Arabidopsis thaliana: one gene and its partners. The main gene of each other region encodes a partner of the protein of the gene in region 2 in a complex. Each region holds a gene or a part of one and is shown on either strand. Other genes may lie near its edges.

What was found.
Region 1: COP8 (region 2) and CSN6A share a complex: the UniProt entries of both Arabidopsis thaliana proteins name them as parts of the CSN complex.
Region 3: COP8 (region 2) and CSN5A share a complex: the UniProt entries of both Arabidopsis thaliana proteins name them as parts of the CSN complex.

The regions. Positions count from the first base shown.
Region 1 is NC_003076.8:22,782,747-22,787,289, forward strand, and holds CSN6A (COP9 signalosome subunit 6A), read right to left. Parts: upstream 2,860-4,543; 5' UTR 2,785-2,859; coding exon 2,487-2,784; intron 2,398-2,486; coding exon 2,309-2,397; intron 2,223-2,308; coding exon 2,129-2,222; intron 1,930-2,128; coding exon 1,868-1,929; intron 1,749-1,867; coding exon 1,670-1,748; intron 1,589-1,669; coding exon 1,496-1,588; intron 1,363-1,495; coding exon 1,262-1,362; intron 1,170-1,261; coding exon 1,114-1,169; intron 953-1,113; coding exon 871-952; 3' UTR 638-870; downstream 1-637. Other genes in the region: WRKY2 (WRKY DNA-binding protein 2), read left to right, coding at 1-391; PEX5 (peroxin 5), read left to right, coding at 3,909-4,028, 4,314-4,442, 4,539-4,543. UniProt on the Arabidopsis thaliana protein: Component of the COP9 signalosome complex (CSN), a complex involved in various cellular and developmental processes such as photomorphogenesis and auxin and jasmonate responses.
Region 2 is NC_003076.8:17,236,605-17,242,516, reverse strand, and holds COP8 (Proteasome component (PCI) domain protein), read left to right. Parts: upstream 1-1,700; 5' UTR 1,701-1,867; coding exon 1,868-1,997; intron 1,998-2,135; coding exon 2,136-2,287; intron 2,288-2,557; coding exon 2,558-2,661; intron 2,662-2,749; coding exon 2,750-2,810; intron 2,811-3,267; coding exon 3,268-3,360; intron 3,361-3,448; coding exon 3,449-3,549; intron 3,550-3,790; coding exon 3,791-3,899; intron 3,900-3,984; coding exon 3,985-4,029; intron 4,030-4,252; coding exon 4,253-4,321; intron 4,322-4,418; coding exon 4,419-4,510; intron 4,511-4,584; coding exon 4,585-4,687; intron 4,688-4,810; coding exon 4,811-4,870; intron 4,871-4,972; coding exon 4,973-5,047; 3' UTR 5,048-5,364; downstream 5,365-5,912. Other genes in the region: AT5G42965 (Polynucleotidyl transferase, ribonuclease H-like superfamily protein), read right to left, coding at 5,392-5,781. UniProt on the Arabidopsis thaliana protein: Component of the COP9 signalosome complex (CSN), a complex involved in various cellular and developmental processes such as photomorphogenesis and auxin and jasmonate responses.
Region 3 is NC_003070.9:8,109,020-8,114,047, reverse strand, and holds CSN5A (COP9 signalosome 5A), read left to right. Parts: upstream 1-1,986; 5' UTR 1,987-2,152; coding exon 2,153-2,542; intron 2,543-2,669; coding exon 2,670-2,951; intron 2,952-3,037; coding exon 3,038-3,185; intron 3,186-3,288; coding exon 3,289-3,374; intron 3,375-3,900; coding exon 3,901-3,978; coding exon of another isoform or gene 3,979-4,050; exon of another isoform or gene 4,051-4,076; coding exon 4,077-4,166; 3' UTR 4,167-4,474; downstream 4,475-5,028. UniProt on the Arabidopsis thaliana protein: Probable protease subunit of the COP9 signalosome complex (CSN), a complex involved in various cellular and developmental processes such as photomorphogenesis and auxin and jasmonate responses.

The DNA of each region.
Region 1 (4,543 bases), 5.5 Mb from region 2:
TAGTGGTAACGGTAACAGCGGCGGTTCAGCCGCAGTTTCTCACCATTACCACAACGGTCATCACTCAGAGCCGCCACGTGGGAGATTCGACAGACAAGTCACAACTAACAATCAGTCTCCTTTTAGCCGTCCCTTTAGCTTTCAGCCACATTTGGGTCCTCCTTCTGGTTTCTCCTTCGGTTTAGGACAAACCGGTTTGGTTAATCTTTCAATGCCTGGTTTAGCGTATGGTCAAGGGAAAATGCCGGGTTTGCCTCACCCGTATATGACACAACCGGTTGGGATGAGTGAAGCAATGATGCAGAGAGGGATGGAACCAAAGGTTGAACCGGTTTCAGATTCAGGACAATCGGTATATAACCAGATCATGAGTAGATTACCTCAGATTTGAAATTTACTCTTCTTCTTCTTCTTCTGCATTTGGTCACTCCTTATAATAACTTTTAATTTCTGCTTCTTCTTCTTCTTTCATTTATTGGTTTCAAACTTTGGGGAAGGTAAAGGCTGTTTTATTGTTCATTCCTTGGTTTTGTCTTCTTTTTTACTGGTTCTTTATCTTATATTGAAATCAACAAAGAAGAAAAAAGTGAGTGTTGTGTAGCAATACTGCAATTGCTAACTGGAGACTGATGTGGATGTAACTAGAGAGACTGATAGAATCAAACCTTAAAATCTTTTTACTAACAATAGAAACTTGTTCAAGATCAAACAAGAGCTTTGATAGATAAGCAGATGTTCTTATAGATATAGAAACAATGAAGAGGATAAAGTCTTGCCGTCTGAGTTATAGATTCTCACAGAGGCAATGTTAAAAATGGTTTCAGGAACCAAGAGAAGATCTTTAGAACTAGAATCGCTGGAAAGGATCTTTTACATGAATGCAGTTCTTCCACCTCTTCGAGTGTTTCTGTCATATGCGGTGTTGAATTTGTCGACCATCTCGTTCATGTTGCTGCAGATTGAGCAAACAAAATTATTAACTGATATAACAGAATCCACCAGCCCGGTGAAAACCGTATCTTTCACAGTTCCTAAAGAACCACTAGTTAAAGAGCATTCGCTAGCCTATATACTTGCTTTCAAATACTTTAGAATGTTGCATTAGGTACAAACCTGGAACAATTTGTAATCATCGCTAGGTAAGTTATTAGTAATTTGTCGTTGTACTCCTGCAAAAAGAAAAAATGCCAGCATAAGTTGCGAAATATCTCAGACAATAAGCTACACTGAAAAGAATCAAGTGCAGATCTAACTAACTCACCATCAAGAAATTATCTTGAAATCTCTCTGATTCCATGGCAGGCAATCTTCTTAGCAGGCTAGATACTTGTCTCAGAACTGAGTTGTCACAAGATTTATCACCTACACACATAAATGAGTTGGCAGATAAATTATTACACTTACACAACTTTGACTATCTTCAGCTAGAATCCTGGACTGGTAAACATGAAACCACGGTGATAAGAATCGGAACTTGGGAAAGAACAGAATATACCTTTCTGCATTGCAGCAAGATTTTGGTAAAGCACTCTGATTCTGCTATTAAGCATCTTGATGGCACTATGTATACCAGTAAGATGAGCAGCCACTGCATATGAACGAATAATCAGCCAAAAACAGTAAGACTCAGGAAGTGGAGTATGATATGTATTAGTGACATAAGGCTCACACTGGGTTGCTGCTGAGCCTCCGTCAGATGGTTTAAGATGTGCAACATGATCAACTGATATCCGTTCAGCTTCAACTGTCTACATTGTATAACACCTCAAAATCTTAGTCAATGTACACTTTCATAACATAGATTAAATTGCAGAATGTTTGACAAAAAAAAAAAAAATTATTTGCAGAATCAAACTTAAGCACAGACCTCGATTGTGTAGCTTGTATGAGCGAAAATTAGCTGCGGGATTCCATCAATGACATGCAATTCTTCAAGTAATGAAGATCAATCAATGAAACAAAGAGAAAAGTTAGGATCTTGTAAAACAATCTGACCTAAATCTGGAAGTCAATAAAGATAAAGACTTGGGAAGATATCTAGAAACTCTGAACTACGCATATACCTATACTAACATGCTAACATATCAGAATGTACCCACAGAACCATATGACATTATAAGAAGCATACCACTTTCATAAATAGTCACTGGAAGATCCTTCTGTGTGTGATTGATAGCAGGGTTTAAAAGCACATAAACAGGAGATTCATTGATATCCATCAACTGTCACCAAGAGCAGACACAAAAACCACACTTTTAGAGACCAAATCTCAATTATACAAAAATACTAGAGAGAGCATTGGACTCACAGCTTTATGGATATGCATATCAGATTCCTCAGCATCACTTCCCGTAGAGTACCATCCCAGAATATAGAAATCAGGGAACACCTTCTTATCTAATAAACAATAAAACCAGATAAAAGTTCAAACTTTAATTTACGATTGCATCAATAGTTGAGAATAAAAAGAGTGAGCTTTAGCTTACAGAGCTCTTGCTTCTTCTCGAGGAAAGATCTATCAAGGGTTTGAGTAGAAGGATCATATAAAAGCTCGAAACTGTTGAATATCTCAACAGTACGACCTCTCTGGACACCGATCACACATCCGTAAACCCTAGGGTTTTGCTGGAACATTGCTTCGCCGTTGTTTGAGCCATGGCCGCTTGCGCAGATTGAAGCAGGAGGATTGAGCTGAGTTTTGACCCTAGTGTAGTGATCCGATATGTTGACGATTACCAAAGGATGTAGCTTGAAGGTTAAACCGCTTGATGACGAAGGTGCCATTGTCGATCTCTCTCTCCTTTGATGAATTCTTTGGTTTTTGGGTTTTTAGTTTTTTTATGAAGATTTTTTTTATTTAAATCAATGTGGATTCGGATCCTAGATCGGGTCTTCCGGGTCAACTATATGGATATTAGTTTTTTCTGTATGGGCCGAGCGTAGGACTTATATATGCGGTTGGGCCTCATGACTTGTTTTTCCAATTACATTTTTTCATTTTGGAAACTAATTATATTAATTAACAAACGAAAATAAGATAAACCAAACGATTGAGACTCATAAAATCAGATATCTGAAGTTGACAAAAAATGTACTAGAAATTTGAAAACAGACAACATTCATCAAATTTTTCAATATGAAAGTTCAATAGTTCAGTGGTTAGACTAAAGGTTATAATTTTTTCCACAAAATGTTTGATTTCTAGTGTGTAAATTCTTGCAAGTTAATGAAAGGAAAAAAAAATCTAGAGATGCCTAGCATATTGTAACTATTGTTGATGTAGATGAATTTTTTTTTTTTTTTTAGTTATTGATGAAATTAGTGAAGTCATGTTGGTCGTCCAAATGTGTGATATGAGTACAAGAGTAGAATCTACCTTCGTTTGTAACGCATTGCACAATCAATCAAGAAATATAACTAAACCCAGCAAAAATCAAGCAATATAATTTATTTATCTTTGGTATGATCAAGCAAATATAATTCAACACTAATAGGAAACTACAAAATTCAAAAGTGGCAGCAAATCGGACAAAAAGATAAAACATATCTTGATAAAGAAAGATAAAAAAAAACTATATTCACAACAATTCATTTTTAATTACGGATACTGTAAAAAACGGTTTTTTCACAAAAATAAATAACTAAACAAAAATGTGTTGGTGAGCCTAAAAATGTGTGTGGTGTGGATAATATATAAATATTAATTACCAAAATACTATCAAAAAATTTAATAATTTCTTACGAAGCTGTGACCAAACACAACAAACAAAAAAAACACCGCCACGAGACGAGCCAAACTAAAGATTAGGATTTGGGAGGTTGATGATCAATTCCGGACAACGGAGGAAACCATACTGATAGATTCAACGACGGTGATTGCGGCGGAGGAGTAGAAACCCGTTGGAAACATGGCGATGAGAGACCTTGTTAACGGCGGAGCCGCTTGTGCCGTTCCTGGTTCGTCTTCTTCTTCTAATCCTCTCGGAGCTCTCACCAACGCTTTACTTGGTTCGTCTTCCAAAACCCAGGTTAGCTTCCTGATTCCTTTTTGATCGAAACAGTGTTGACATTTGAAGTCTCCTGATTCCATTCTTCGCCTTTTCCTTGGTTCTCCTGGAACTAAGAAGTCGAATTAGATCTCATTTTTCGTTGGGTTTTGTTATTTGCTTGCCAAGTTTCGATTTTTCTTTCCGTAGTGTTAGGGTTTTAGACGTTCTTCGATTATGTCAAGTGATTTGGCTGACAATTGTTTAAAGGTTTAAAATTTCCTGAGAATTTGAAGAAATGTTGATGATTGGTGATTTGTTGTGCAGGAAAGGCTCAAGGAGATACCTAATGCAAACCGGTCAGGTCCTCGGCCACAATTTTACTCTGAAGACCAACAGATAAGGTCACTTCCTGGTTCTGAGTTAGATCAGCCACTTCTGCAACCGGGTGCTCAGGTTAATGTTGTGGAAAGTTTTGGTTTTACAATGGTAGTATTGACTCTGATTATCTAGCCTCTGTGATGGCTGATGGGTTTGCAATTTTTACATTAGGGGTC
Region 2 (5,912 bases):
GAGATTGAAGAATTGCAAATCGGATTCAGCTTCTGAGGACGCGTGTAATTTATGCTCATTGAAAATAGAAGAAATTGATATATTTAGTCAAAAAGGTTATGAGATTTGAGTATTTCTTTTTATTTTTTATTTTTTTTTTGTTGGTCACATTGAATATTATTGCCTTTGGTAGTTCAGTCCTATATTTTATTTGAGAAACAAAATCAGAAAAGAATCTATAATTTGAAGCAACTTTCATATTGTAATTTGGTATTCCTATATTTTATTTGAGAAACAATATCAGAAAAGATCAAAAGAATCTATAATTTGTAGCAACTTTAAATATTGTAATAGGAAATCTTTTAAAATTTATCAATATGAAATTTGTTAATTTATAATAGGTCTTGAGATTTGATCATGTGACTTCTAAACACAAGTTATTGGGCTTTTGTTTAAGTAAAGCCCATGTGTCAAAGAAATGGATTGTTTTCCTAGTTAGTGAAATAATCTTATACACACAATTTAAAAACAATAGAGAAAATTAATGTTGAAATGAGCAGATTAATGTGGGGTTGTACATATCAAGGTGGAACTATCACAAGGAAGAACAAAGAGATATCTTGAGGTAACTACCCAAAGAAAGAGCAATGAAACCCTACCATGACAATTTGTCCAGACTATAACGAGTTAAATCATTATCATGAATTCCATACCATGGCAATTTGTTTTCTTTCAATGGGATGTCTACCATTCCAAAAAAGTTTTGCCATCAACAACCGCATCTGTTCTTTTGAGTAAATGTAATTTTGGTAAACTATGTAGTCTATAATCATTAGTTACAATATGGATCTGTAAAGTTGATTCAAAAACAATTGTGATGTTCTCGAACGGGATCACCATAAACTTCATCAAAAAAAATCCTTTAAGCGAGAGAAACTCGTGATTTTTCGAGACAACGATTGTGTCTATGAGTCTATCGTCCAACCTCATCCAATACCAATATGTTCAGTTATATCTAAGTTGTAAAGCACATAAAATCGATTTGTCAGTCAGCTCACATGTTTAAACCAAAGTCGTATTCCAATGCGAGACTTGGTTTCCTAGTCTGAGATAGGTAAATTTCTTTATATACTACCCTCTATGTAACGAGAGAGTGGTTCTTTTTTCACTTTTAATTCATGAGAGCACTTTCAAAACATTTTGCATGTCATTGCTCTCAAGATTTGGGCTCACAACTTTTCCGATGACTTCTCGGTCATATCTTGACCATTCGATCAATTTTTCGATTGCTTCTAGTCGATTCTTTCTCAACAAATAATTATTTACGTTTCCATCTTAAATTGCTCCCTAAGCTCTAAAACACATAACATATCATCTTTTTCCGATCTGGTATCATAATATTAAACGTGGTATTGTCATCATAAAATACCTCATCATCGTGTTTTCCAAATCACGACGTGTTTTTTTATTTGTGTAAAAGATTTACTGTAGTAATTTAGGCTCACATATAAAAATATTTCTAAACAATATATTATTTGTTGATTTTTTTTTTTAATCTACAATCAATTTGGTAAACTTACCATCACAAATTAATTATAAAATTTATGAACTAACAAAAAAAAATATAGTATTTATGCTTAATATATATATATATATATTTTAATTTATTTTGGGTACTAATCTCATATGAGTTGTGACCATATTAAGTAAATTTTGTAAAGCGCCTCTCCGATCACCGGCACAGAATCTAGTCCCCGTTTATTTTTTTAATATAAAAAGAGAGCAAACTCCAAAAAAAAAAAAAAAAAAAGCGAGAGAGAAATCAAAACCTTGTAAGGTTTCTTAGGGTTTCAATCGAAGCGGGAGAGAAAATCTCAGAAGAGAAGCCATGGATGAAGCTTTGACGAACGCTTCTGCAATCGGTGACCAACGCCAGAAAATCGAACAGTACAAACTCATCCTCTCCTCTGTTCTCTCTTCCAACGATCTTCTCCAAGCTCAGAGATTCATCGATCACAGTAATTTCGCATCTCCCTTCTTTCTCATGGTTTCAACTTCATAAGAGATTCGACAACTGCTTTTTGTTCTTATGGAATTCGGTTTATATCAGAATTTCTGGTTTGATTTTGATTTTTGCTTCCTCACAATTTTTCCAGTTCTTTCCGATGATGTCCCGTTGGTGGTTTCGAGGCAGCTTTTGCAGTCTTTCGCACAAGAGCTTGGGAGATTAGAACCGGAGACGCAGAAGGAGATTGCTCAATTTACTCTTACCCAGATTCAGCCTAGAGTTGTTTCCTTTGAGGAACAGGTTTGTTTTCTCTTCGTGATACCTTACTGTTTAGCAGCAATCGTGTACTTTTTAAACCCTAATTAGTTTACCTACTTAACATAAGTTGAGAGGTATGTAGAGTCGCTTTGCTATTGTACCGCTTTGGTATGTGAAATCTACACTGAAAGCTAATTTGAGATATTTGTTTACTAAGGATGCTGTATTTTGGGATAACTGAGACAATGTACGTTGTGTTGTTTTTCAATCTCTTTATTCTAAGAGATGAAACTGTTTGTGGTGTATTTGCAGGCACTTGTTATCAGAGAAAAACTTGCGGGTTTGTATGAATCAGAGCAGGAATGGTCAAAAGCAGCACAGATGTTGAGTGGAATTGATCTGGATTCTGGAATGAGGTGTGTGGCATTGAGCAGAATTTTGTTTTAGTTTCCTCTCTATGTTCTTTTGTGTTGCTTATTTTGGATTTGCGGAATTCTTTATTAGGGCCGTTGACGACAACTTCAAGCTTTCAAAGTGTATCCAAATTGCTCGTTTGTATCTCGAGGTTTGTCTTTCCCTTTCATGTACATATGCACAATAGATTCTGTGTCCTTTTCATTAATTTTTAAGCATGTAAATCGGTTATCTCTGTTTATGAGATGAATTTACGCATCGCAGTAATGATTTATAGCTAGTTTGTCTTGTTTCCTTCTGTGGGTGCGTGTCAATCAGTTACAGAAGTTAGATCTTAAAAGCACAAAAGAAACCCGTTGTTGAATGTTGATTCAATCTTCAAATATTTGGACATTTTTCTAGAGAGATTTTATTTAAAGTTAAGTCTCTTGACCAAATCTAAGTGTCATGAAATTAGGAATATCGACTGTTAAGAGCATTATTCTGCTTCACTACATCACTTTTTTATTTATTGCTTGTGAGAGTAAATTGAGGCTAGCAGAGTTGTATAAATACATTTAGTTAAATTTTTATTGTTCTCTAATACTTTTGTGTTTTGAAATTTTCAGGATGATGATGCTGTAAATGCAGAGGCTTTTATAAATAAAGCTTCTTTCTTAGTGAGCAATAGTCAGAATGAAGTTTTGAATTTGCAGTACAAGGTTGGACCACCTTAAAGTAAACTAAGAATTTATGTGCTGGGTGATTAAGGAGCATTCGTTTTCAAGTTTTAATATATTTCTGTTTCAGGTCTGCTATGCTAGAATTTTGGACATGAAAAGAAAGTTTTTAGAGGCTGCACTTCGGTATTACGGCATATCTCAGATTGAGCAACGCCAAATAGGGGATGAGTAAGTGAACTGACTTATCTTTCTGCTACATCTTTTCTTCAAATTCTCCTCTGTTGGTTTCTTGTTCGGATGGAATAATGATTAATTAATCTTCTATCCATCTTTGGAGACTCTGTATTTAAAGCTAGTTTCCTACTTTTCCCCTCTCTGTGATTGAATAGTGTTCCTCTTTTCTCTCTCCAATACCTTTGTGATATCTCATATTCTGAAACGGTTATAATGTGTTTTCTAATCTTTTCAGAGAGATTGATGAGAATGCTTTAGAGCAGGCCCTATCAGCTGCTGTCACATGTACCATATTAGCTGGAGCTGGTCCTCAGCGTTCTCGTGTTCTTGCAACTTTATACAAAGTAATTCCCTTTTGGATTACAAATAGAATACTTTCCTGCTTGCTTATTTATTGTTTTTTATTTCTCAATATCTTTCTATTAACAGGATGAGCGTTGCTCCAAGCTGAAGATTTATCCTATCCTGCAGAAGGTTCTATCTCTTATTACCTACAACTGTTTCCTCTAGTAGACAAACATACATTTTCATGCTATTGGACATATAGTATTGTTTGAACTCACATATTACTCTTGTTTAAGCCGGCATGATGTTTATTAGATTTGATTCATTATCAAATCAAACAAGTTCACCATAGCTTATAGAGGCTTGGTTAGAAATGCATGGTAACTTTTTGTTTTTTAATGCAACTTTATAGGTGTATCTGGAAAGGATTTTAAGGAGACCAGAGATTGATGCCTTTTCAGAAGAACTAAGGCCACATCAGGTATGGACTGTGAATTAAGATTTAGATGTAGTTTTTGGATAACATCTGAGTTGGTAAGTAGGTTCATAACAAGTTATTACACTGTTGATTTCAACAGAAAGCATCTTTGCCTGACAAATCCACTGTTCTTGACCGTGCTATGATTGAGCATAACCTTCTTAGTGCAAGCAAACTCTACACAAACATAAGGTATGAGATGTCGAATTAGTATCTTCTTTGTGTGTCTAGACTTGTTTGATTTTCTCAACTATTTTATATCCTAGGTTTGATGAATTGGGAACTCTGTTGGCGATTGATCCAAGAAAAGCGGAGAAGATAGCAGCTAATATGATTGGGCAAGACCGAATGAGGGGTTCCATAGATCAGGTAAGCAATAAAAAATACTTTGTTGGTTGAGCTATGTAAGAGCCCTGAAGAGAATTCTCGTTAGTGTTGATTTTCTAGAAGGAGGTTCCTAGACGTGTTTTAATATTTTATGTTACTGTTCAGGAGGAGGCTGTGATTCATTTTGAGGATGACGTGGAGGAACTACAACAATGGGATCAACAGGTTTTCTATCTCTCCCTCCCACTCTTTGTCTCTTTAGAGCAACTATATATGATTGTTTGTTTTATTGGCGTGGAATATGACTGAAAAGTGGAATCTGTGCAGATATCGGGATTATGCCAAGCTCTCAATGACATTCTGGATGGGATGGCCAAGAAAGGCATGTCTGTTCCTGTCTGATTGACTCCCAAGCCGTGAGATCGCCTCATGATGATTAATTTGTATTAGCCGAGCAACGGATCGAGTCTCATGCCAAAGTTTTTGCCAAATTGCTGTGTTTTGGGGACAGTCATTTTCACCTTATTTACTTTCTTGCAAATTCATGTCTATGTCTTTAGGTTAATTGATTCAGAGAGGAAAAGATTAGGCATTGAATGAGGATTTTTAAGAAAGTTGAAAAGAGGTTCAGGGTACATTTTTACCTCAGAACAAATTATTTTATGCATAGATGAACCTTTCTTGTGCAAGAGAATGATGAAACTAGTAGTTTTTTTTTTTTTTTTGGCTCAACAACAACTTCTCATTTACCAAACGGTGATTACACAGAGTCTGAATACACACAATCTTTTATCCAAGCCGGCACCTTTAGAATACATTTTAGGATCATAATTCAATAAAGAAAGAGATTCCCTAGCAATTCTATCTGCCACACTGTTTCCTTCACGCTTTATATGCATCACCTTCACCTCCTCAAATTGTTGGAATATATGTCTAATGTCCTGAATTCTTGGGGCCAAATTTGGATAATCAGTATCATCCCCTAACAGAGACACTAGATGTTGGGAATCTGATTCAAAGATGACTTTCTTATAGTTAAATCTTGACATTGAAAGAGCTGCCCATCTCATAGCTTCAAGTTCCACTTCCAACACTGTCTGAACTCTCGGGATTGCACGAAGTCCCAGCCACAACATTTTCCCCTCATGATTTCTCAGATGAAACTAGTAGTTACATATAACATTTTCCCATTCGTTGTTTAATTTTTATTCTTGAACGATCAAAACTTATGCGAATTTAAGAAATGATCAATGATAACAGACGAAAC
Region 3 (5,028 bases), on a different chromosome or scaffold from region 2:
ACTGAGGGCGTATGAATTGTTTCAAGCTAGACATCAACAAAAAAAATGTTATCCACTTTCTCAAATCTATATATACTAAAGGATGTGTATTTAATCTAGTAGTTTAAATTATTTGTGTAAAATTTACAAACTTTATGTTATTTAATTATAGATTTTAAAAACTTTAATGAAATCCAATGTTATTAAACTAATAATTTAAAAATTAACTTTAAAATCAATTGTTATTGAAAACAGTTTGTGGAGTTGATTCTTATTCATCTTGAAAGATTTGAGAAAACTTCTTTAGTTACAAATACACAAATTCAAATCTCATGGTTTTAGATAGAATTTGAAAAGATTTCTATAATTTTAAGAAAGTTGATGTGATTAATTGTACAATCTTTTCAAATTCCATCTACAATCATGAGATTTGTTTTCAATAACAGTTGATTTAAAAGTAAATTTTAAAATCGTTAGTTCAATAACACTTGATTTTAATAGAGTTTTTAAAATCCATGATTGATAAATTTTACACAAATCACTTAAAATACTAGATTGAATACACTTCTACAAAATCATCAAAATCATATAACTACTTACCCTCCCCCTCCCACCCCCCTCTAAATTAACCGTCATTTTAACAAAAACTGCATGTAACAAAACTTTCAAATTTTACCGAATGTGACAAAACTTTCAAAACTGCATGTAACAAAACTTTCAAATTTTACCGAATGTGACAAAACTTTCAAATGGGACAACACTTTCAAAAACAGCAACATTTACCACATGTCACAAAACTTTCAAATTTTACTTTTATACTTTCACGTAATCTAATTCTATTACCACTTTGTTAGCAACCACTCCTTCCCCATGATCTCAAAATGTATCCTCTCCTCTAAACTTTCTTCCACTTTTTTTTTTATAAGTAATTGTAACAGTCAAACAGATGCATTAACTTCTTCTTTATTGCTCTTCTTTCTCACAAACTCAGAAGATCTTCCATTTTTTTTTTCAAAATCCAACTAAAGGCAATTATGTTTTATTTTGCCAAAATATTTTGATATATGATGTAATTTGGCATTTATTTTGTATCAGCATAGCAGGGGCGGCCATAATCTTAGTATATGCATATAATTGAGGCTGCTCTTAAATTTTAGCGTATTTATATTGTAGTGAATTCTTTGTCTTGTATAATATTTTGGATGTAGGACCTGAATGTTGGTACATGAAGACAATCTAATATTTTTAAAGCAGTTATCATTAAGCATTTAAGCAAGTAATGAAACACAACAACACGGTAGAAATTTAAGCAAGCACTTTGATGATCTCTCTCCTTAACTCAAAACATCTTTATAGTATTGTTGTGTTTCATTATTTGTTCTATGTTAATTGCTTTACAAATATTACACTGTGTCCTTGTACAAATATTTAGGTCTAATGCTAAAACTAATTTTTCTTTTGATTCGCAACACTCAAAATAAAAAACTGATCGAAAGCTAACCTTATGTTATACTCTCTGAGTTCTGACACAAACAAGAGAAGAAAAGAGAGGAAAGTGATTTAGATGCTTTGATCGATGATAGAATGAGAAGACAAAAGCTTGACTTTATAGCTAAAGATCAACGTCTATGCCATAAAGTCAAGCATAATTCACACAATATATAAGTTGAACATGCTATCAAAATAAGCTTACTACATTGGTGAAATTATGCATGTGTGGATATCTCAAGAAATATGCATGAGATGCATTACTCTTCTTTTACGCTTTGTGATTTAAGATATTGTATGCCAAATCTATGTGTTGCCAACATTGATTTCTATACCAATTGGTTGATACAATGACTGGAATTTATCCTTTGATTTGCCAACATTGATTTCTATAAAAGTTAAACAAACTAAAAATAAAAAGGGAAAAATATTTAATAAAAAATGTACAATATTAAATTTCCATAAAAATTTTATATGGTTAATGTTTTGGATTAGCATTAGTCCCCAAATCCCATATTAAGTAAATCCATTTTGAGTTTTGTTCTCGCAAACCGGTTTAACCCAAGAACCCAAAGATCTCTCTCTATTTGTTTGCCTTCTTCTTTCTTTCTGACTCAAACCCTCAAATCAATTCTCGCGATTAAGCAAAACCCTAGATTTATTCTACTCTTCGAAGTCGATTTCAATGGAAGGTTCCTCGTCAGCCATCGCGAGGAAGACATGGGAGCTAGAGAACAACATTCTCCCAGTGGAACCAACCGATTCAGCCTCCGACAGTATATTCCACTACGACGACGCTTCACAAGCCAAAATCCAGCAGGAGAAGCCATGGGCCTCCGATCCTAACTACTTCAAGCGCGTTCACATCTCAGCCCTTGCTCTTCTCAAGATGGTGGTTCACGCTCGCTCCGGTGGCACAATCGAGATCATGGGTCTTATGCAGGGTAAAACCGAGGGTGATACAATCATCGTTATGGATGCTTTTGCTTTGCCTGTTGAAGGTACTGAGACTAGGGTTAATGCTCAGTCTGATGCCTATGAGTATATGGTTGAATACTCTCAGACCAGCAAGCTGGTAAGATATCTCTTATTCATCTCTCGCTGTAGCTCCTTGTTTAATTAGCTAGTTGCTACTTGGATCCTTTATGCAAGATTTTGCGAGTGTTTGATTGATTGGTTATGACTGTAACTTTGAACTATAGGCTGGGAGGTTGGAGAACGTTGTTGGATGGTATCACTCTCACCCTGGGTATGGATGTTGGCTCTCGGGTATTGATGTTTCGACACAGATGCTTAACCAACAGTATCAGGAGCCATTCTTAGCTGTTGTTATTGATCCAACAAGGACTGTTTCGGCTGGTAAGGTTGAGATTGGGGCATTCAGAACATATCCAGAGGGACATAAGATCTCGGATGATCATGTTTCTGAGTATCAGACTATCCCTCTTAACAAGATTGAGGACTTTGGTGTACATTGCAAACAGGTATGTATAATTCTTATTTATCGATTTTAAAACTTGGGAGGGTTTTAATCATCGATCTTATGATTCATTTTTTTTGTATGTGGCAGTACTACTCATTGGACATCACTTATTTCAAGTCATCTCTCGATAGTCACCTTCTGGATCTCCTTTGGAACAAGTACTGGGTGAACACTCTTTCTTCTTCCCCACTGTTGGGCAATGGAGACTATGTTGCCGGGCAAATATCAGACTTGGGTAAATTCTTGTATATATGAAAGAGCAAGTTAATTTACTTTTCATCCAGGTCGTAGTTTGATATATCCTCTTTTCTTACCATTTAATTGTTTACATGATGAAGCTGAGAAGCTCGAGCAAGCGGAGAGTCAGCTCGCTAACTCCCGGTATGGAGGAATTGCGCCAGCCGGTCACCAAAGGAGGAAAGAGGTTTGTCTAAATGGTTGCTTTAGCAAAATTATTTGTTATGTTCTCAATGTTTATTGACTGTCTGAGATACTGGACCATGATCTTGAGCTCATACACTTGCCACTTTTCAAGCTTGTTCCTGTGTAGAAACTTTTCATTTGGCTAATTAACTGCTACTATCAACATCTAGCAACTTGGATTAAATTTGAACTTTTTATTCTTAGGCATTATGTTGACTGGATATTGACTAATAGAAACTCTACCTGCAAAACACTATGTTTTACCTTTTCTGGGTTTGAAATTTCACAATTGAGTGTATGTTTAGTCAAAAATATACAGAGCTATTAAAGTTTGAACTAGTAAAACAGGGAGACTTTGATGTATCAATTTGTCAACGAGTTGTTGCCAATAGTCTATGTCTGCTTCCTAGAGTTCTGTTATCTCTGGCTGTGTGACTCATTTTGATATTGTTTTAATCTTCTTTACATAAAAACATTTGTTTTGGAGATTACATTACCTAAGTATATGTGTTGTGGACCACTTTCAGGATGAGCCTCAACTCGCGAAGATAACTCGGGATAGTGCAAAGATAACTGTCGAGCAGGTCCATGGACTAATGTCACAGGTGAGTAAATACAATCTGACAATGCTGATCCTATTTCCCCTTGCGGTTAATGGATCCATGAAATTGACTTAAAAAGTCTTTCATCCATCAATGTGCAGGTTATCAAAGACATCTTGTTCAATTCCGCTCGTCAGTCCAAGAAGTCTGCTGACGACTCATCAGATCCAGAGCCCATGATTACATCGTGAAGTTGGTCTATTCTTTTGTTTTTTGGCTGCGGAAATTGACTATCGGTTTGACCCGGTTTATGAGGCAATGCCCATTGTTCCCTATATCTCTAGTGTAGTATCTGCTTCAGACAAAGATCTTTGGGTTATTAAATGACATTAACATAAATCGATCATTATGTTTTTGCGTTTGACTATCTTGATTTAGTGGTATTAAAAACCAAATTCCAGATACACACGTGATGTCACAGTAATCATGTGCCTGTTACGGAACCATGTGCAAAAAATTGACACAAGCATACAAATGTTCTCCAACGATTGAAGCAACAATGATTCTAGGCCCTCTTTTCTTTCTGTTCTTCATCACATGAAATTCATCAGGATGTTGTTTTTCACATTTATGTTTGAACAGCATTTCTTTTGTTAAAAGCGAACAAATTCTATTCTAAAACCGAAATTGTCATTACAACAAGACCACGATTTAAGGGTACTAAAAGCGGATTAAGATTTCTGCATTCGAACAAACTGACTACTAAACGAACATCAGGCCGAGAAAACAGTCGGTAGGAAGAGATAACGTGTGAAGTTACTTGAGTAGGATTAAGAGTAAGGTAGTAGTAATTGATAGAAGCTGCGTGGGGCTTAATCAATAATGACATCCTCACTTAACCAGCATTACTGGAAAACAAGAATAAGAAACCACATGATGATGTCAAAGACTTTTTGGGCCTTCGCGTATCCCTAAATGGGCCTATTTACGGCCTAATACTTGTCTAATGTATAGTTGGGTAGAACAAGAAGGTCCGAGAGTTCGAAGCTTAAGCCATTCTATCTTTTCTGGGGATCTAGAAGATCCAAATGATCAAAGAAGATATTATGAAAA